Caenorhabditis elegans: one gene and its partners. The protein of the gene in region 2 interacts with the protein of the main gene of each other region in a biochemical or structural test. Each region holds a gene or a part of one and is shown on either strand. Other genes may lie near its edges. The genes, in order: spd-5, tpxl-1 and air-1.

Region 1 (7,626 bases), 2.9 Mb from region 2:
TTTATTTTCTTGAAGAATCCCCGGAAAAGGAAGTCAATATTTCGGCCAACGTCACTTTGCGTCGTAGTCGTCGGGGTCAGTCAACAGAGCCACCAGTCGTGAAAGAGAATTCTAATCGAAAACGGAAATCTGTTGACGAGGAAGAGGAAAATGTGCCAACAAGTTCATCTGGTAACACTGAAAATGATCCACTGTCACGCGGAGTGACTCCGTTGATTTTCGATGAAAGTAAGCTTGGTGCAGGACGTCATTGTTCAACTCCGATTCGATCACGAGAAGACGCAGATCCAAGCGATGTCACATTCTCCCTTAATTTGTCGGCTATTACCGAAAAGGAAGACTTGAAAAACAGAAGTAAGGTATTCACAATTTCTTGAATTTACAAAACGCCTTAATTTTACAGAAAGTCAAGCTTATCACCTTCACAATATCTTCGAAGAGGATGAAGAGGAAAGCTGATCAATGTCATTGTATAAATCTTCCATCGAAATTTGTCTTATTTATCTCAACTGTTTGTATTATTGTAAGATTGTCCGCTGTTTTTTCATTAAATTAATCTGTTCCTTTTATTATCTGTAATGGGATTGCAGTCAACTACCAGAAAAGAAGCATTTAATTCACAAGTACATTGATAGATGCATTAGGTGTATCTTTAGGCTGGGAAAACAATACAATCGTTACAAGTTAATCTTGTCGAGATGATAGTGTTGATAAAACTGGTTCCATTTTAATACATTAACAGATCAGTTCACTTTTTGCGAATTTCCTTCACAGCTCCTCCCATATCAGTTGCGATTTTGCCAATTTCCGTTTTGATTCTGTCTTGAAATTCGACACCAAGTGTCTGAAAATGATATTTTTCAAAATAGATTTCAATAGAAAAAGAATTTCATACCGGGATGGCGGATTTTGTCAGTTTCAGTTCCTTTTTGTACTTCTTGATTTGCTCCTCAAGCATCAAGTTATCCTGATGCAATTGTCCGAGATCTGTGATCAGTTGATCGACGGTCTCGTTCTTCCAATTGGACATATCGATTCCTTTGAATAGAATGAGCTTCTGATGGAGGAAATCGCGAAGAACTCTGGATTCATTGATGACGTTGCCAATCGTCTCCTTAAGCTCTGGACCCATTCCTGACATATTGTGAGTCTTCTTGAGTTTCTGAACAATTGCGTCGACAGCCATAGTTGATTCGTGGAGCAATTGTCGAGTAGGGCTCGTGTAATCTGGAGAATTGGTGAAAATTCAACTTCTGATGTGCATAAGTATGACTTACGAGGTTGAGCACACTTTTGATTCGATGTTTTAGTAGGCATGCCACTGACCGATGTTCCAACTGGTGGGACATTCTCGTTATTAGAGCTCATCATTTTCAGCTCATGTTCGAGAGCATCTTTCTCTAATTGAAGCTTTTCAATTTTTTCATTGACGTCTCTCATAACTTTCGCGTATTCATGCTGTTGCTCTCGTTCCCTGGAAAGACGACGACAGAGTTCATCGCAAACGAGTTGAATCGATGAGATGTTGCTGAAAATGTTCTCAAATAAAAAAAAACAAGCACGACGTTTGATAATACCTTGGGATAATCTTGGCTTTCAAAGTCTTCTTGGTTAGCTCAGATATCTCCTTACTGATACGTTCCAATCCTACAATAGCGGCATTCTCAAAATCTTCGCGATACTTCGCCAACTCAATTTCCTTCTTTCTTTCTGTCATCTTCGTAGAACAATAGTCGGCCGCAATTTCTGAAGTCGACAACTTCTCCATCTCAGTCTCCAAATGAACAATTCTTTCAAGCATTTCAGATTTCTCGGATGAAGCATGTTCAACTTTATTTTCCGCCTCTTTTGTTCTCATTCTCCACCCATTCAATTCTTCACTCAACTCATCTGCTAGATTTTGGGATTTTTTTTCTTCCTCCAGCGCGGTAGATAACTCGCTTTTCAAGAATTCATCGCTCTTCTTTGCTTCATTCAATCGCATCCCCATATCAGTAATGGTTTTCTTGAGCTCATTTTCCTCATGTTTTAGAGAACTGATGAGCTGACGAGCCTCTTCCAATGCATTTTCAGCTTTGACACGAGTCTCCTGTTCACCATCCACACGAGCCAACGCTTCATTGAGCTCGCATCGCACTTCTCCAAGCTTAGAATTAACTTGATGGAGATTGGCTTCGAGTTCAGCAAATTGACTTTTCAATGTAGAATTTTCCTCTTTAGCCTTTTGTAGCGTTGCTTCAGATACTTCGAGATCTTCAAACATGCGATTGGTGTTGATCTGCACATCCGACAATCTTCCAGACGAACCGTTCAATGGAGATCTCATATCTCGTGTACGAGCCATCTCCAATTCATTTTTCAACTCCGATACCTCATTCTGAAGCTTTTCCACTATGTCTGAATTGCTTGTAAACTTGAAGAGTGGACTATACGAGGCATTGAGAAGAGAAGATGAGGCGACATCTGGAAAATATTGATTTATGAGCGTCTCTAAAATTTATATTACCTTCAGCATCGGGTGCAATAGTGAATCTTCTCGAAGCTTCCGCAGCCTGACTAACTATCGACTTCTCGAGAATTGAGAAATTGAGTGACATATTATGAAGATCCTTCTCCGCTGCTTCCAAGATGGCAGATACATTGAGCTTGTCGTTAATACTTGTTTCAAATGCGAGCTTCATTTTCTTGATCTTATCCGCATTTGGATCACTGGATCCCATCTACAAAAAACTCAGATTTACAGATTCACAACTTGACAGTTTTCATACCCTTTCAAGAATCTCTTCAAAAAGAGCAGCAGAAGATTTAAGTCTTTCGAAAAGTCGAGCAAGAGCCTCTCTGATCTGGGACATTTTCTCTTGCATTTGCTCAACATTTACAGCTACATCATGCTGGCCTTCAAGGAACATTGCAGAAGAATCCAGAATTTGTTGCATATCGTGCAGAATTGGAATGTGACTTTGTGACACGTGAGGAGAAGCAGTCTTCGTAGAAAACGAATTATTCTGTATTTGTTCGCCAGCTCCCTCGGATTGATGGCTCTTCAGGTGAAGATGAAGTGATTTTGGTTTCTGCATTACAATCGGAGAATTCTTGAAAGACTTCTGACTGAGGAACGATTGAGTTGCATCTCTACCAGGTGGTGGCATTGACGAATTGAAGGAACCTAACAATAATCAATTTCAAAAAATCTAGGAATCAATTTTACTACCTTCAAGGGTGTCATTATGGTTGTTCTGCAGGCTGTCTTTCACTGACTCGAAATCTTCCCACATGGAGGCAAATTGTTGCTGCTAAATATTCAAGACTTTATTTTAAATAATAATTTTCATACACTTACATTTCGAACAGCAGATGATGTATCCATGAGCGGCAATTTGCTTTCTTCAAGATCATCTAATTGACTTTCTCTGGGAAGAATGCGCATCGATGTTCCGCCAGTCTCATTTCCTTGTCCAATGCTATCGACATCATTAGTCGCAATACCAGCCATCAGTCGACTTTGTCCCAGTGAAATGCTAAGATTTCCATCGCCTCCGGTCAATTGATCACAACGAATGCGGAGTTCTCGATTTTCAGCTCTCAACACATTCAATTCACCGTTCACCTTTCCTATTTGGATTTTAAGCTCGTCGGATGTCTGACCACCAAGCAACATGGAAGAAGAATCAAATGTCGAATTTTTAACCATGGTTCGAATCTCGTGCTCAAGCTTGCTACACTTGTTCATGTATTCAACGAGTGCCTGACGAGCCTTATCATTTTCCTTCTTCGCATCAGCTAACTTCGTTTCAAGATCATCAATGTAATTGAGCTGGTCTCGCGTCTGTGATTCACGACCGTTCCCGATCATGAACGTTGAATTTGGAACCATAGCGTTTCCAGCAGCTCCGAGGATTCCTTGTCCAGTGGCCGCTTCAAGCTGAGCGCGAACATTTTCTGAATCGGCAAGCCTTGCAGATTGGTCGTCAAGTTCTTGACGGAGCTGCTGAATGTGATCTTCCAGCTCAGCTACCTTGTCGATCTCAGAGAGGAGCTTTGCCTCCAGGTCGTTGATCTTTCTTTCTTCATAACCAGAGGTTAATGTGAAATCTGGATCGTTTTTCTTCAGAATGTCATCAAGAGTTCCACGAAAAGATCCGACAGTTGTGTTGTTTGCATCAGTAGCGGACAATTCCAGTTCCTTGATTCTTTCCTCCATTGCATGCTTTTGTGCCTCAAATTCTTTCATCTGTCTGGCAAAATTGTCTTCGGAAGTTTCAATTCTCGATTGCATTGCTAGCAAATCCTCTTCCATCAGTTTGTATTGCTCCATTTTCTCTTGAACATTTTCTTGGCCTAATTTGAGATCGACATAATCGTCCATAACTTCCTTAACTCTCTTCTGCGACGCTTCCTTTGCCTCACTATACCGGCGCTGATACATTTGCAGTTCTCCCTACAAACTCAAATCATTTCTAAATAAGCATATGATAAATTACTTACTCTCAGGATAGTTATTTTTGTTTTAAGCGCTTTGTTTTCTTCCCATGTTTGGATGATGGGGATGCTACGAACATCAGCAGACGAAAATGCTCCTGACAATACTTGCTGTTGAGTGGCACTGGTCGAAGACGTTCTTTTGTCTCCTTCAACATTCAGAACTGGTTGCGACATAGATCTTCGTGGCTGGCCTAAAAAACCTTTGCATTTATGCAGTTATTGATTTTAAATGTTATAATTACCCTCGACATGCTCGAGATTGGAGTCCTCGTTGAGCACAGAATTATCCTCCATTTAACGCGAAGTTTTCTGAAACAAGAAACGGGTTCGAAAACAAAATTGAGCGTTTTTTTGGGATTAAGAGTTTTGAGTCAAAATGAACAGGAGGTTGCAAAATTTGAAGCTTCAGCACCGTTCTTTGGGCGTGCATAATCATGAAAAACAAGTGCGGACCAACTTTTGTTACTATGGAAACGTAAGAATTTCGCGGACGCGGAGAAAATTCAAAATTCACGTTTAGGCGCGCGTTTTTCTGAGGCCCCACGAAAAGGGGAGCAGAACGAAAAGGGGATCTGCAAAAAGGGGAGATACGAAAAGGGGAGCAACGAAAAGGGGAGCTGGCACTGTGCCAAACGCACAAAACGCAATTTTTCTCACGCAACGCACGTTGATTTTTGAAATTTTCTTCTAGAAGATACGCTTAACAACACGCGACGCGTAACATCGGAGCCGATGCACCATGTTTCGGATCGGTATAGGTTCAAAAGTGGTAGAATTATATAATTTATTACTGATAAATCCGTTAAATGATAAAAATGAGAAAGCTCATATATTTAACATGCGACCTGCCGGTCCAAGAGTAAAACGAAGAAGTGACGATTTCCTTGCGTGGTGTCGACGTGTTGGGGTTTGATGTGCATGTGTGGTAGTACTGTAACACGCGTGACGTGTGTGTCTTTTGGCGCGGCTTTCAAACAGGAGTTTCCCGGCTTTGTCATTGTTGATGACTCAGTATTCTGCGTATTCGCGACAATCGTTGTATCGTTTTCTTCGAGAAAAATAGCGTTTGGCACAGTGCCAGATCCCCTTTTCGTTGCTCCCCTTTTCGTATCTCCCCTTTTCGTATCTCCCCTTTTCGCAGATCCCCTTTTTGCAGATCCCCTTTTCGTGGGGCCTCGTTTTTCTTGACAGAGAAAAAGTGTGCGCATGTTGCGAAATACCATGCGGCGGTATTGCTCATGCAGCCACGCCCCTTATTTTTGAATTCGAATGGAGCTCCATATGGAGGCGTTTTCGGCTCAATTCATCATTGTTTTGTAAAATTTTACATCGCAAAGTGTCAAAATATGAAGCTTATTGTAAAAACTCACAAATTTCTAACAAGTTTTTCTTTGAATCCAATGAGAACCTTCTCGATAAGTGATTAAAATTTAAAGTGAATTGTTTTCTTCCATTTTTTCACGTATAAAAAAACGTATAAAAAACAAGTAAAACAAGTTCACGCCAATGAAAAATTGTTTTTAACGATATTTAAATATTTTTGAACGTGTTTATTTCATCTCCATATTTCTCTTTTGCTTTAACATCGTGTTTTATGCTTAATTTCAGATGGAGCTGGTTTACGGGTCGGAAATCAGCTTCACGGATGGATTTGCTATAAAGCCGGCTAGAACTTTTGTGGTAAACACCAGTAAGTTTCAATTTCATTAAATAATTGTTTCTACAACAAATTTCACTTTTTTAGATGCGCCGCTTCATTCGAATGGATTTGATGTGCAACCGTCCGCAGGAGTTGCAACATTTCCGCACTGCTCAAATTACGGCGATCGGATTTTCCTGTGGCGTGCGATTGGCCAGAAACTGTTCATTGAGGAGCGTTCTTTGCTCTACTCAATCACGGATGGATCGTTGTGCATTGACTTCACACGCACACCTATTATTCCTGGAACATCGATAACAATTTTCGAGGAAGGGGTTTTATGTATTGTCGTTCCCACAGCTTCTGCAATTCATCGTTTCTACGCGAGACTCCACTCCAAAGGCCATGATGTTTGTTCTCAAAAATTTCCATAATCGAATGAGAATAATTATTTTCAGACGTTCTCAATTCTTGCAAGAATTAAAGAAGATGACGATTTCCGCCGATTCAGAACATCTCACTCCCTTTCAACACCAGGGCGCCCGATTCGTGCAAGTGTTACACATCATCCTTCAAGAAATACGGTATAAAAATGGAAATTGATTACAACCTATATTTCGAATTTTGAATTCAGATTTCTTACTGTACCGCTGAAGGGCAGTTGGTCATTGTCACATTGGGATCATACACGGAATCCAGTGATAAACACGAAGAATTCACAATGGGAGAAGTTGGTCTTCTGGGAAAACTTCTAGGTGGCACTGATAAACGAGTCAGTGATGCATGTGTTATGAAGAATCTTCGCCCGACTTCTGGAGTCACGAGAGAGCGAAAAATTTCAGTCCAATCCGATATTGTGTTCGCTGTTACCAGAGACGGATGGGTGCAAGCATGGAATGTTGAGACGAAAAAACAATTGCCAAGCACTATTGACTTGAATAACTACTTTGCTTCAGACGGAAAATCTTTGAATCGAGATCTAGAATCTGCAGACTTCGAGGAAGAAAAGTCTCCAATGGAACCAACTGAAACTGTATATTCTATCAGAGCTTATTCATTCGATGTGGATATTCTTCTGATTGTTGGATGTGATTTGGCAGTTTCGGGAAAAAGCGTCGGGATGAGAGTTCATATTCTCAAAGTTTCAAATGATCAAATTCAACATCTACAAATGTTCGAAACATCGATGTCCGTTGATGAACGACTTGTTGATCTCGAGCTTATTCAAAACTATTTCCCATCAAAGGAATCGGAAAGTCTTGATGAGACACAAGATGGGTAAGAATCGTTGTTATAAAATGGGTTTTTTTCTTGTCTAAATATAAAATTGTTTCAGGGAATTGTATAATCCTCTCACAGCTGCACTATTTTCACTTTCTGCTCTTTTCAAAAGTTCATCTGCAAAGAAAACCTATTCGATGAAACGGATCTCATTTGCTATCCAATGGAAAAAGGGACGAGTTTTCACAGATTTCGATTGGCATTCCGTTCGTCAGTTCACTTCG
Region 2 (7,622 bases):
TTTCGGGAAATCGGCGAACCGGAAATTTGTCGGAATTGTGTTTTCGTTTTCGATTTTCAGAAAAATAGCATTTTTTGCAAAAATGGCTCAAGTTTTAGCCATTTTTTTTTAGAAAAGATGTTGTTTTCTGATATTTTTCTTCCGTCATTAGTAACAAAACTTGATGAAAAATTGAATTTTATCATTACATCTCTATAGATTTTTAAAAAACTTTCTATGAAAAAAATCGAAGAATCTTATCTACTCCAGCCAGTCATTTTAGACTATATTTTTATCATTTTAAGACAACAAAAATAATTTTACAATTCTAGGTTTTCATGTAGTCAGATAAATGTTTCATCGCCTATCGATAGGCATCTTCGAGGCATATTATGCCTGCCTTGTAGGCACCTAATTTTGCCCTACAAAACTACTGATTACATTCCTTATTAGCTCGAAATCCTATAACTTTTCCTAACTTCCCACTTTTAAGGGTGGTGTAGTCGAATTTTTTTTATTGCTTTATCAGGCTCATAATTGTCTGAAAACACCGAATTTCATAATGAAACTTCTTGAAAACTTTTCAGAAAAAAGTTATGACGGCTCAAAAAATGGCCTAAAATTAGTTAAAATCGGAAATTTGACCAACTTATCAATGTCGCAGCAGCTGGAAACAATTTTTTTTTGAAATCACCGCCAAATTTTGAGTATACAAGTTAATTATCTTACGTTTTAAACTTGATTAAGGTATTAAAAAATCTTTGATTTTTAATTTTTTTAACCAAAACTCGCCGTCCATCGATTTTTAAATACTCGTTTAAAACGCGAGGTAATCGACTTGTATACTCAAAATTTGGCGGTAATATCAAAAAAAATTATTTCCAGCCACTGCGACATTGACAAGTCGGTCAAATTTCCGATTTTAACTAATTTTAGGCCATTTTTAGAGCCGTCATAACTTTTTTCTGAAAAGTTTTCAAGAAGTTTCATTGTGAAACTCGGTGTTTTGAGAGAATATCGAGTCTAATAAGACAATAAAAAAATTCGACTACACCACCTTTAAAATTTGAATTTCTGTAATGTAATGCTCTAAATCTTCCAGATTGTCATATATATCCATTGTTTTCTCGACATCAAAGACCACCAAAAAGTCATTCAATACTATTTCCACTTCACCTGTTCACCCCTTCCCCAATCTTAACATCATCTTCTGACCCTTAACGTGACCCCGACTTTCCCAAATCTCCCTCTTCTGCTCACACAACGCTATTTCCAGAGAGCAAACACAGAGCAGCCCCGCCCTAGTGGCGCATCTAACCAAACGCGCAGTCCTCCACAACTATCCACATTGTAACCTTGGCCTGTACATTACATCAGTCGGACCATTCTCTCTCTCTCGCTTTTTACCGTGGCCCATCTCTCGGTGGCTAGACGCTGCCAATATGCAGAGAGCAAGAGAGCGCAGAGCATTATGCAGAGGCTGTCTCTTTTGCTCTCGTCGAGCTATCCAAACCGTTGCCATTTCTCCCTCTTTCACTCCCCGAGACCACCCATATCTCTCGTCTCTCTCTCTCTCTCTCTTTTTCACTCTCTTTCATATTATTCATTCCTCTCTTCTCGGGTTCTTCATTCAATTCTCAGTCATTAGCTACTACCACACAATGCCTAACAACTGAATTATATATTCTACCTGATCGCCGTTTTCCTCTCACAGCCTCGCAAGCTTTCTTTCTCCTTCTTCGAATATTTTTTATGGTGACCTTGTCATTCGTCTCACTATTAATTTTTGTGTGTGTAACACATCTCTCAATAATCGATATTTTTTGCAGATCTCAATTTCAACAGCTTTCAAAAGAATGAGTGCCAACAGAACTGTCACAGTTTTTTCATCGTCAGCAGAGGATCAAGAGCCGGTAAGTATTTGAGCTGTTCTAGATTCTGTTGAGACACAAAAAATCCATTTTCACACGTGGTGCCAGAGTCTGTCTCATCACGGTTTGATCTACAAAAAACGCGGGAATTTTTTGCACAAAAATATGTTCTTAACCATGCGAAATCAGTTGAGAACTCTGTGTCTCTTCTCCCGCATTTTTTTGTAGATTTATGTAGATCAAGCCGAAATGAGACACTCTGACACCACGTGTTTTCAATGAATTCTGGAGTTTTGAAAATAGTTGAATGTGCCATGAACAAGTGTTTATATTTTAGATCGAATTGGCTGAAGACTCACTTCAAAACTTGGACAAAATGCTGGCTGAGGAAAAAGAAGAACACCAGTTGTTGAAGGACGAAGTTGTGCTTCTCAGAAAGGTGAGCAACTTATTCAATTCACTATTTAGAGAATTGAGAAAATCAATTCAATTAATGAAATTAATTAACTTAATATAACTAATAATAGAATTAATGGAACTTAATTAATTAGTAAATTGCAATTTTTCAAGCTATAAACCTATTATTTTTCAGGAAAACGTGGAAGCCAAGACCTACTCCACATTATTGGAGATCATGCTTGACGAAGCCGAAGAAAAAGCATCGTCCGCTCAAGAAACGACCTCCGAAGAAAACAATCTCAAAATTTTGAACCGAGATCTTGTGGCCGAAAACTTGGAATTGAAAGAGATGAAAGAGGAGCTCAGAAAGATCTGGTTGAGCGACTCGAAAAAATTTCAAGAAGCTCTTACGCGGATCTCAGATGAGAATACAAAACTTCAAAAAGATTGTCACGAGTTGGAATCGATTCGGCAATGTGCCCAGTTTGCATTGGATAACTGTAACGAGGAGCTCGAGAAAACCCAAACGGAAAACGAAGAGCACGAGAGCCGCATTGAGACGCTGGAACGTGAAGTTTGTGAAAAAGATATTGCCATGAAAGATATTGTTGAGCGGAAAGACGAGATTTCGCTTCAACTGGAATTGCAGACAAAGGAGTTCACATCTGCATTGAATGATCTGATGTATGGAAGAGAAGACACCTTGAAGCAGATCCATCAAATGAAGGAAAACTGGAAGGTCAAGCAGAATGAATTTGAAGTTGAAATTACAAAGTTGAAGAGTCAAAATGACTACTTTGACTCTGAACGATTGCAATTGACTGACCGAATTAGAGCTTTGCTCAACGAGTTGTCCGATGTTCGCCTGGAACTTGGCTCTACTCGTTTGGCAATGAAGGAAAAAGCTGAAGTTACAGAAGCGGTGACCAGTTTCAACAAAGATCTTCGCGATAAGTTGGAAGATGAAATTGCAAGACTCGGTGAATGCTTACAGTTCAGAAAGGACGAACACGAACAGGATGAAGCAGTCATTGCTCATCTTGAAGAACAACTCAAACTTGGCAGTGATAAAGCTGCTGCGTTTTCCAGCGAGCACAGTGACACGATTGAGTTGCTCCGTGAGTCTGAAACCGAACTGATGGAGCTCAGAATGGAGAATTACGATCTGAAGGAGGACTTCAAAATTTTGAAGGAGGAGAAAGAAGATGTCAATCGCACATGTGAATGTCTCCGCGAACAATTGAGCACAACAATTCAGGAGCGGGACATCGAAAAAGGCCAGATGCAGAGTGAGATGGATGCAAAAATGGTTGCTGTGCATCAACAGTACGCCAAGCAAATTGATAATATGAAGTACAATCATATGTTGGCAATTAATCAGGAGTTGATCAAAGGACAAATGGCTCTGGAATCTGGGAAGAAGAAGCACGCCAATGAGATTTTGACGGTACGAAACGAACTAGAGCAATCCAATGCTGCTCATCAAAGCTTGAGAGACCAGTGCAGTTTGCTTTTGAGCTCCGAAGATGATCTCAGAACCGCACATTTGGCTTTAGAAAGCAAAATGACTCTCGTTTCTGAAGAATGTATTGCACTCAGAGTGTCTCGAGCTAATGCTCAGAAAGAAATTGGAAATTTGACTGAACATCACAAACTTGAAGTAGCACTCTTGGAAGATGCGAAATCCGGAATCCAACAACGTCTCCATTACGCCACTATTGAAATCGAGCAGCTAAAAAAGATCAATGAGGTTACTCAAGCCCAGTTTAAGAAGGAAACAGATGAGAAAAATGCCGAGATTAACGAATTCCAAGCTGCAATGGTATCAATGAAACAGCAATACAATGTTCTTGGCAATCATTGTCGCGTTCTGACATCTCAAGGAATCTCGGATCGTACCACAATTGACAAACTCCAGGAAACCATTCGCGAGCACACAGAACTTGCAATCGAAACGAAGAGAATTCACGATGCAGAGATTGTTCAGTTGAATGATGCTCATAAGAAGTTGGTGGATAATTTGGGAGTTGAAGAACTCGACGAGGAGCCGAAAGCATCAACGGAATCGGAAGAGAAGGCTGAATGGGAGATGGTCGACGAAGAATAACAATTTTGATTAATTTCTTGTTCGTTTTTGTTTCTAAATTGCACACTTTACTGTACATTGCAAATTGTTTTTGTCTTTCATGCCCGCCTAAATTGTTCTCAATTTGTTATTACAATTTTTTCTGTTTAAATAATCAATTTTTCCTTTTTTGAAGAATTTTGAGTTCAATAAATCCATCGTTTCTTCTCATACCCTTTGTAGGAGCTGTACACATATGATGGCACAGGGCGCACAGCAGATTTTCGGATACTCGACGCTGGGCCCTCGTGTGAAGTCCTCGTTGGCGTAGCAGTAACCTTTGGTGTGGCAAGTCTGTTGAAAAGGTCAGCACGGGAGGCTTTCTGTAAATTCAAAAAATATATATATAGAAAAAAAAACGTTGCACAAATGTACCCCTGGAGTGGAAGCCGAAATTGGAGGTTGGCCAGAACGGTCCACTGACCGAGCTCGAGTCGGCGGCTGGCGTTGTACGGATGAAGCCTGGAAATTCGATTTATTAAACAATTAGGCAAATTTTTTAAATTACCACTGGTGGTTTCTTGATCGTTGTGCTCGGAGTTCCCGGGTTGACTCGAAGCGGCTGCCGGTTACGAGCTGCTCCACCAGCTGGAACAGCAGGACGTGAAGCCGCTTTATTCTGTTGAGCATCAGCAGGAGCCGGAGCCGGAACAGTTGGCTTCACAACATTCATTCGAAGAATCGATGAGCGATTGGCTGTTGCAATCGGACGAATCTTCGGCGTCAATTTGCTCACCGACGTCGGCGCTGTTGCCTTGTTCGCCGATGCCGAACGCCGCGGTGGAGCAATTGGAGTGGTGTTTGCTGCAGCAGCAGCAGGCTTATTGGGGAAAACACTTCGACGAGAAGCCGTTGTATTGGTACGGCGTGTACGGTCACGGGATCTGTCACCTCCTGCAGTAGCAGCATCCGATTTTACTGCGGCAACCGGCGTTTTCTGAGCCACTTTGAGAGGCATAACACTTCGACGAACACTTGTTTTGGTGACATTTTCAGCGACACGAGCAGCCATCGCACGAGTAATGACACCTGGTCCGGTATTTGCAATTGGCGCGGAGATGGTGCGAGTGACAGAATTGTGAGGTGGACGTGGCACAGATGGTGCTCGTGGAGCTGCTGCAGCTGGCTCACGCGACATTGAACGTTTCGTGCTGATCGAGCGAGAACGAGTTCCGGACGCTGGAGCAATGACGGATGTCCTCTTATCTTCCTCTTCTTTCTTTCTCTGCTCTGAACGGCGACGCTGCGAAAGACGTTCCTCTGGAGCTTTTGGTGCAAACATTGACAATTTCTCAAGTCCCTCGATTAGCTGATTTTCTCCACCGCTTCCTGAAGCTGATGCGTCCTCGTTTGGCACGATTTTGAGTGGTTCTCTGATTGGTTGCTGCTGCTTCTCTTCTGTGTTGTCATTTTGACTTGCGTTGATTACAGTGGATTCCGATGAAGACGAAAGAAGATTATCGATAGTTGGAGATGGGAGATCATCATCGGATTCCCGCTTCGTCTTGGGAAGTTGCATTTTGACCGGCGTGTCGCATTCCAGGCTTGCTGGAAATTAAAACTTTATTATGAAAAATAATATTTGAATAGTCTTACGAAAGTGATTTTCGAAGTATGACGTCTCACACGGCTGGTCTCTGCTCGGCGAGCTCGATAATCTCGAATAGTCCTTGACTTTCGGTACAGCAAAGCTGCTGAAGAAATTCTCATCGAATTCCTGAATGGTTTGACTTTTGCTCATCCTATAAGAAAGAAATAAATGATAATTTGAATTCTAACTGATAGAAAAATAAATAAATAAATAAACTCGTGAATTCAGAACACGTTAATCAATGAGTGAACAATAAAATAAAAATCGGCTGAAGAATTATTATTTACAGCGAAAAAAAAATTTAATGTAAAGTTAGGGCCGATGGAGTTTTTGTATTCTCCGTTAAAAAGGGGGAAACATTGAAAATAAAAAATAACTCAATACGAAATATAAAAACATTTTACAATTTTTGAAAAAAGATTATGTCGCATGCTGGAGCGACTCCTGGCGATGTAAGCTGCTTCGGTACAACATCATTCCGAAATGTCTTGAAGAATTGTGCGAGACGACGTGTTTAACGTTGATGGACTCTTTTTCCACACTGCTGACGATCCGCGCTTCTTGACTTTGACAGCATCACTAAAGATTTCCTTTAGATTTGGCTGAAAATTTTTAAATTTTTACTGAAGGAGCTGCAAGAAAAAAAAAACAATTACCTTTCCAATCGATCCGAAGAATTGAGCCACGTCGAATGGTGGATTAATGGCATGTCTTCTGACATTCTCACGGACAACTGCGAATTCGGCCCAAGCCGGGACATCTTTGCGTGGATCATCTTCTTGATCTGTCTCGTCATCACTGTTAAGATCGTTCAAACCATAGTCATTCTTTGAGTTGTTTTGATAGGTACGTGGCGGAGTCATTTCGTAGGCTGCAGGTGGTGGCGTTTTTCGAAGAGCTTCCTGACGAGCTTGTTTCTCCGCGCATCTTGCGAGTGTTGCCTGGAGCTCTGCCTCTTCTCGCTCTCTTTGCTTCTCCAGCTGAGCTTGCTCTTCTCTCTGAACGGCCAGAAAATGCTCCTGCTCTTCTCGAGCTCTGAGTTGACGCTCCTTCTCCGCTTTCTCTTTCATTTCCTTCTGCTCCCGCTTTCGTCGTTCATCTTCTGCTAACTGTAGCAGATACTGCTCCTGTTCCAGCTGAATACGTTGCTGTTCCTGAAGAGCGGCAAGTGCGGCAGCAGCTTCAACATTTGATGTAGAAGACGAAGCTGCGTGGGCCGATCGTTTCGTCGCTTTCGCCTTTGGTTTATGTTGACGCGCCGGTGGAGTTGAATCATCACAGCTCATCGGCTCCATTTTGACTTGCCGGCTACCGTTTCGTTGCAATTCTCGGGAAGGCTGAAATGAGTTAAATTATTATTAGGAAAATACAATCAAGTAAATACTCACCGATAGTTCAACGGTCGGCTGAGCCACAGGAGCAGTCTTCTGTCCATCTGAGCCAATTAGAATCTCAACTTTTCCCTTCTTAGCAGGGCCTCGACCAGGAGTGGATGTGCTTTCCGCCGTTGGGAAGATTTTTCTACTTGCAGCCTTGTTTGGAGCATGGTCTTGCATCAAACGAGCTCTTGTTGGCGACTTTGCACTGTTGTGAAGTTTCGCCAAATTAGCATTACGCTCTTCCTTTTGCTTCAACTGGTCGAGCTTTTCCTGACGAA
Region 3 (4,473 bases), on a different chromosome or scaffold from region 2:
ACCAGATGGTAACGACCAGTTATTCGCGCAAATATTAAACATTTTTGTGCATTATTCTAGTATCTAATTGATCAGTTCATTTCAAGGATTACAGTTATTATTAAACATTAGAAAGAAATGTTTATATTGTATTTTCACGAAATGCTGAGATATCAGTTAAAAGGCACACGATGTTTTCCTGAGTGGGTCTCGGCACGAACTCAGTCATAGTGAGGTTCCAAAATTTACAGATTTTTTCATTTGATATGGAAAATGTACTATACGAATTTTGAAATTCTGAAATGTACAGAAAAAACTAGAATTTTTCATGTAGCACATAGCACCTAGCTAGGATAAAGTTTTTGCGAATGTACGATATTTAAGGCTCTCTGCCAGATACCACTTAACGTTGTTAAACCTCCGCTTTATGTTTCAAACTTTAGCTGTTCCAAAAAACGTTCCCACTCCTACCAATGTAGTGTTAACTCGTTATAATGTTTGCATACCATGCTACTTTTTTGGCGGAACAAAACAGTGCCAAAAAAGGCGGCAGCCTTCTACTTACCGCCACCACTGTTTGAGTTTTGGCTTTTAGCAGAAAGCATTGTATTTCTTCTGAGAACCAATGAACAAAGAGGTGCACCATCGTTTATGTGATAATCGAGACACTTGGATGCGAAATTTGGGAAAAAATTAATGGGGCAGACGGGAACACACGATACAGTACTTTCACGGGAATCTAATGATTTTACACACACACAAATAAAGAATAATTGATTTAGATAAATTTAAATCCTTCTCGTTGTCAGTGTGAGAAGAAACAAAAGGATGAAAACGGATAAATTGCTTAAATGGATTAGCGAAAATAAGAAGTTAGTAGCCGTATGATATACGGTTCTAAAGAAGGGAAAGTGCAGATGATAATTGTTTGGAAAGACAAGTAGAAAAGGTTGAGACTTTAATGGACAATAGACAGAGCTTTTATTGATTGGCTGTAGAATTATTGCGACTGGATTTCGTGAGCGTCGAAATGAAGAGTGGAACTTCAATGTCTTCGCGTTGCTTCATTTCCTTAATCCACGGATGAGCCATGATGTCAACAAGTGGGAGACGTTCTTGGGGTTCCTTTTTGATTATTGCATTTATCAAACTGGCAGCTCCGTCAGTCACAACACTTGGAATCTGCAAAAAAGAAGCAATTTAGATGAAACTACTTGGGAAACAAAATGGAAATGAATGTTTGAGAACTGTCCCGAGGAGAAAAGGAACCATATTGCATTAAAAGCAAACCGGCACACGCATCTCGAGCTAGACTTCTATTGCAGTTCTTTGAAGCTTCTCACAGATGAAACCGTGAGAGGCAGGAGATATATGACATGAAAAGATGAAATGGTTACCCAAACCATCACTTCATGCACATATTTCTGTTGGAGAACTGCTTATTAAGATTCTAACAAATTTAGTTCATAATTACTAACATAAATCTTGCACTCCTTGATTCTGGCGATCAATTTATCACCAGTTTGATTGGCGAACGGAGCATATCCAACAAGCATTTCGAAGAGAAGAATTCCAATTGCCCAAATGTCAACATTAAAGTCATGTGGCTGATTGGAAACCATTTCCGGAGCAAGATAATCCATGGTACCGCACAATGTATGGCGTTTCGAGTGATCAGCAACGACGGACCATCCGAAATCGGCAAGCTGAAATACAAGTCTTATTTTTTAGAAAGAATGCATAAAATGTGTTGAATTTAATTTTTACGGTAATTGTCCCGAGGAGAAAAGGAACCAGATCGCATTAAAAGCAGAACGGCACACGCATCTCGAGCTAAGCTTTTATTGCAATGTTACTGTGTGATCAGAGTATAAACTCTTTTTCAGCTAGTGACTTCTTTCGGCTCGGAGAACCAAAGGATGCACTGAGAACATTGCAGAAGACTTTTTGAGTACTTAGTTAACCATATTTATACGCGTACCTTCAGATTGAGCTTCGAATCAAGAAGAAGATTTTCAGGCTTAATGTCTCTGTGAATAACTCCTTTCGAATGGCAGTAATGCAACGCATTGGCCAGCTGTCGCACAAATCTGAGGAAATTTACTATATTTCTGAAATATCTACAAAATCACACCTTCCGGCAATGACCTCATTCACTTTGTGTCCAGGTTGTGATTGGAGGACATTAAATAATTCTCCTCTGCTGGCATAGTCGAGAATGACGAACACACGCTTGTCATCGTGAAAGTATCCATAAAGAGTGAGAATATTCGGATGACTGAAATAATATTGATTAATTGATTTGGATGAGATGACTTCGAGAAAACATACCGCAAATGATATTGAATTTCGATCTCTCTCTTCAACTGATGACTGACTCCAAGTTGAAGCAACTGTGTTTTGAAGAGTACTTTCAAAGCTATGATTCGCTTGGTCTTTTTTTCACGAGAGATGAAAACGTTTCCAAACTTTCCTTTTCCGAGAGGCCGTCCAACGTCAAAATCATCAAGACTCCAGCTAAAGTCCATTACATTGTAAAAGTAATAAATCAATTATTCTCACCATGATTCTTCCCTTGCCTGGTCAACTCTCTGAGGTCTGCTATCTTCCGTAAGTGAAATAACCTGAAGATTAGAATTGATGCCTTTCTAATTTTAATAACAATTACCTCGGCCTTCTGATCGTCTATCACAGGAGCAGTATTTTCCTTTCCGCTCATGATTAATGTAATTCTGCGAGTTGAAATATTATAATAAAATTGAGGAATAAAAAATTTAATGAGAAAGGAAAAAGAAAATCGCGACTAATTCAAGAACACGTCAAAAATTAGAACAAAGGCAGTCACTTTGAATGAATTTTGCTTGGCGGGTTGTTGAGCGGCATTGCTAAACAACACGCGCTCTGTTATTTCGGAGTGTCGTTGCTGACACGTTGCGAATAAATCAATTCTGCATTTTCTATTCCACTGAGTTCTGCGATTTTTTTCGCAGAATTCGGTGAATTTGAATCAATAAAATGTCAGTAATCGATAAAACTTCATCAGCAGTCAATCCTTTACGAGAAAAAGTGACTACTGCATGTGCAAAGAAGCTGTATAATGACAAGGTCAGCTAAAATATTAATTACAAACGAAACTTATGGCATTTCTTACAGGATTGCATCAAAATTGCTGATTTCATCACTCCACTGGTCGAAGATATGAACCTTGATTCAAATGTTGATAGGAAACTACACAATAAACTAGAACGATACGAGTTGAGACTAAACAAGGAATATTTGAGCGAGTTCGAAAAAGTTAGAATAAACCTGAAATCATTTCATTTTAAATCTGCTATTTCAGATAAATAACATTGTGCAAAAATTCGATGAGCTCTGTGTAAAAATGAACTCCACATGCACGAATTTATCAAAGCAAATGGAGACTGTAAAGTTCAAAAGTGTTGATTTGGTGCAGAAAACAGCAAGCTTGAAGGAGAAGAAAGCGAGTATAGAAAGCCGTTGTAATATGATAAATGAATTTCTCGAAAACTATTCTTTATCAAGTGAAGAGCTTCGAGAATTAGACGAATGTGAACAAAGTGGTCATCTATCGGAATTTTTCTTCAAAGTTCTTGAGAGGTGCCACGAAATTCGCGAGAACTGCAGAAATATGGTTCAGGAGCAAGGACATCTTGCCGCTTTTGAAGTGATGGAAAAAATGCAAAAAATTGACGAAAGAAGCCATGCAATTATCTGTAACAATCTGAAACGCGAATTTCAAAATCTGACAGTTGATTCTCATCAGAAAAAGCAAATTCTTTCTAAAGCTTTCAAAATCATAAGTCAGAATGATGCTGTATTCCAGCTTGCCATTGGTACGTTTAGTTCTTCAAATCTACTCACCATTAACCTAGTTTTCAGACCAATACATTTCATCTCGCTCACAAGAATTGCTCAATCAGTTTGTTGAAATTAACAAAATGGCTGTCCAAATGCCTGAAGGGTTGGCAGAACCACTGAAGGCAGTTGGAGATATGCTGACTTCGATTCACGAGCTCACGGAGCAAGAAAAACAGTTGTTCAGCTCAATTTGTTCCGCAGAAAATCTTCCGATCGTTCTTGATGAATGCCTGAAATCTTTGACTTCGCCGTTCAAGGTAAAAAGTTTAAATTATTGGACTATAATATATGATAATAGTTTACAGATTAGGGTAGAGCAACTGCTGTCGACAGAAAAAAATGCCATCACAATTTTCAAAATGGGAAATATTTTAATTTTCTATGCAAACAAGTTCGAGACTTTGATTCGAAAAGATAGTTATTTTACAATAATGCTCGCAGATCTCGTCAAAACAGTTCGTCAAGTATGTATTGCCGGTATAAATCATCACGTGGACGGACTTATGAGAAAGATGACATCACCACACTATGATCTCCTTCCAGTCCCAGAAGTTCGGCAATGCCTTTCACTTTATCACGGGCTTATTTCAATTGCTGTAAAAACAGGAGATTTGA

What was found.
Region 1: the proteins of tpxl-1 (region 2) and spd-5 form a complex in vitro, tested with the Caenorhabditis elegans proteins (one study listed by BioGRID).
Region 3: of the proteins of tpxl-1 (region 2) and air-1, one has a biochemical effect on the other in vitro, tested with the Caenorhabditis elegans proteins (one study listed by BioGRID).

Annotation. Positions count from the first base shown.
Region 1 is NC_003279.8:5,170,746-5,178,371, forward strand, and holds spd-5 (Spindle-defective protein 5), read right to left. Parts: upstream 5,910-7,626; 5' UTR 5,853-5,909; intron 4,792-5,852; 5' UTR 4,777-4,791; coding exon 4,725-4,776; intron 4,674-4,724; coding exon 4,486-4,673; intron 4,439-4,485; coding exon 3,341-4,438; intron 3,294-3,340; coding exon 3,212-3,293; intron 3,167-3,211; coding exon 2,769-3,166; intron 2,721-2,768; coding exon 2,507-2,720; intron 2,464-2,506; coding exon 1,578-2,463; intron 1,529-1,577; coding exon 1,278-1,528; intron 1,228-1,277; coding exon 896-1,227; intron 845-895; coding exon 749-844; 3' UTR 557-748; downstream 1-556. Other genes in the region: Condensin-2 complex subunit hcp-6, read left to right, coding at 16-359, 404-556; npp-6 (NUP160 middle TPR domain-containing protein), read left to right, coding at 6,091-6,172, 6,227-6,531, 6,580-6,705, 6,756-7,399, 7,458-7,626. UniProt on the Caenorhabditis elegans protein: Plays a central role in centrosome maturation and mitotic spindle assembly during the first division of the zygote. Required for the centrosomal localization of air-1 and zyg-9. Probably not required in late embryogenesis and during larval development.
Region 2 is NC_003279.8:2,298,278-2,305,899, forward strand, and holds the start of tpxl-1 (TPX2 domain-containing protein), read right to left. Parts: upstream 6,117-7,622; 5' UTR 6,116-6,116; coding exon 5,971-6,115; intron 5,923-5,970; coding exon 4,883-5,922; intron 4,837-4,882; coding exon 4,750-4,836; intron 4,698-4,749; coding exon 4,549-4,697; coding exon of another isoform or gene 4,521-4,548; exon of another isoform or gene 4,357-4,520; coding exon of another isoform or gene 2,443-4,356; intron 2,290-2,442; coding exon of another isoform or gene 2,188-2,289; intron 1,893-2,187; coding exon of another isoform or gene 1,836-1,892; exon of another isoform or gene 1,809-1,835; intron 1-1,808. Other genes in the region: epg-2 (Ectopic P granules protein 2), read left to right, coding at 1,836-1,892, 2,188-2,289, 2,443-4,356; icp-1 (Inner centromere protein ARK-binding domain-containing protein), read right to left, coding at 6,439-6,567, 6,622-7,302, 7,354-7,622.
Region 3 is NC_003283.11:8,219,726-8,224,198, reverse strand, and holds air-1 (Aurora kinase), read right to left. Parts: upstream 2,712-4,473; 5' UTR 2,699-2,711; coding exon 2,648-2,698; intron 2,604-2,647; coding exon 2,542-2,603; intron 2,497-2,541; coding exon 2,311-2,496; intron 2,258-2,310; coding exon 2,114-2,257; intron 2,070-2,113; coding exon 1,961-2,069; intron 1,919-1,960; exon of another isoform or gene 1,750-1,918; intron 1,686-1,749; coding exon 1,458-1,685; intron 1,421-1,457; exon of another isoform or gene 1,226-1,420; intron 1,162-1,225; coding exon 961-1,161; 3' UTR 617-960; downstream 1-616. Other genes in the region: cogc-6 (Conserved oligomeric Golgi complex subunit 6), read left to right, coding at 2,995-3,084, 3,133-3,273, 3,320-3,833, 3,880-4,115, 4,164-4,473.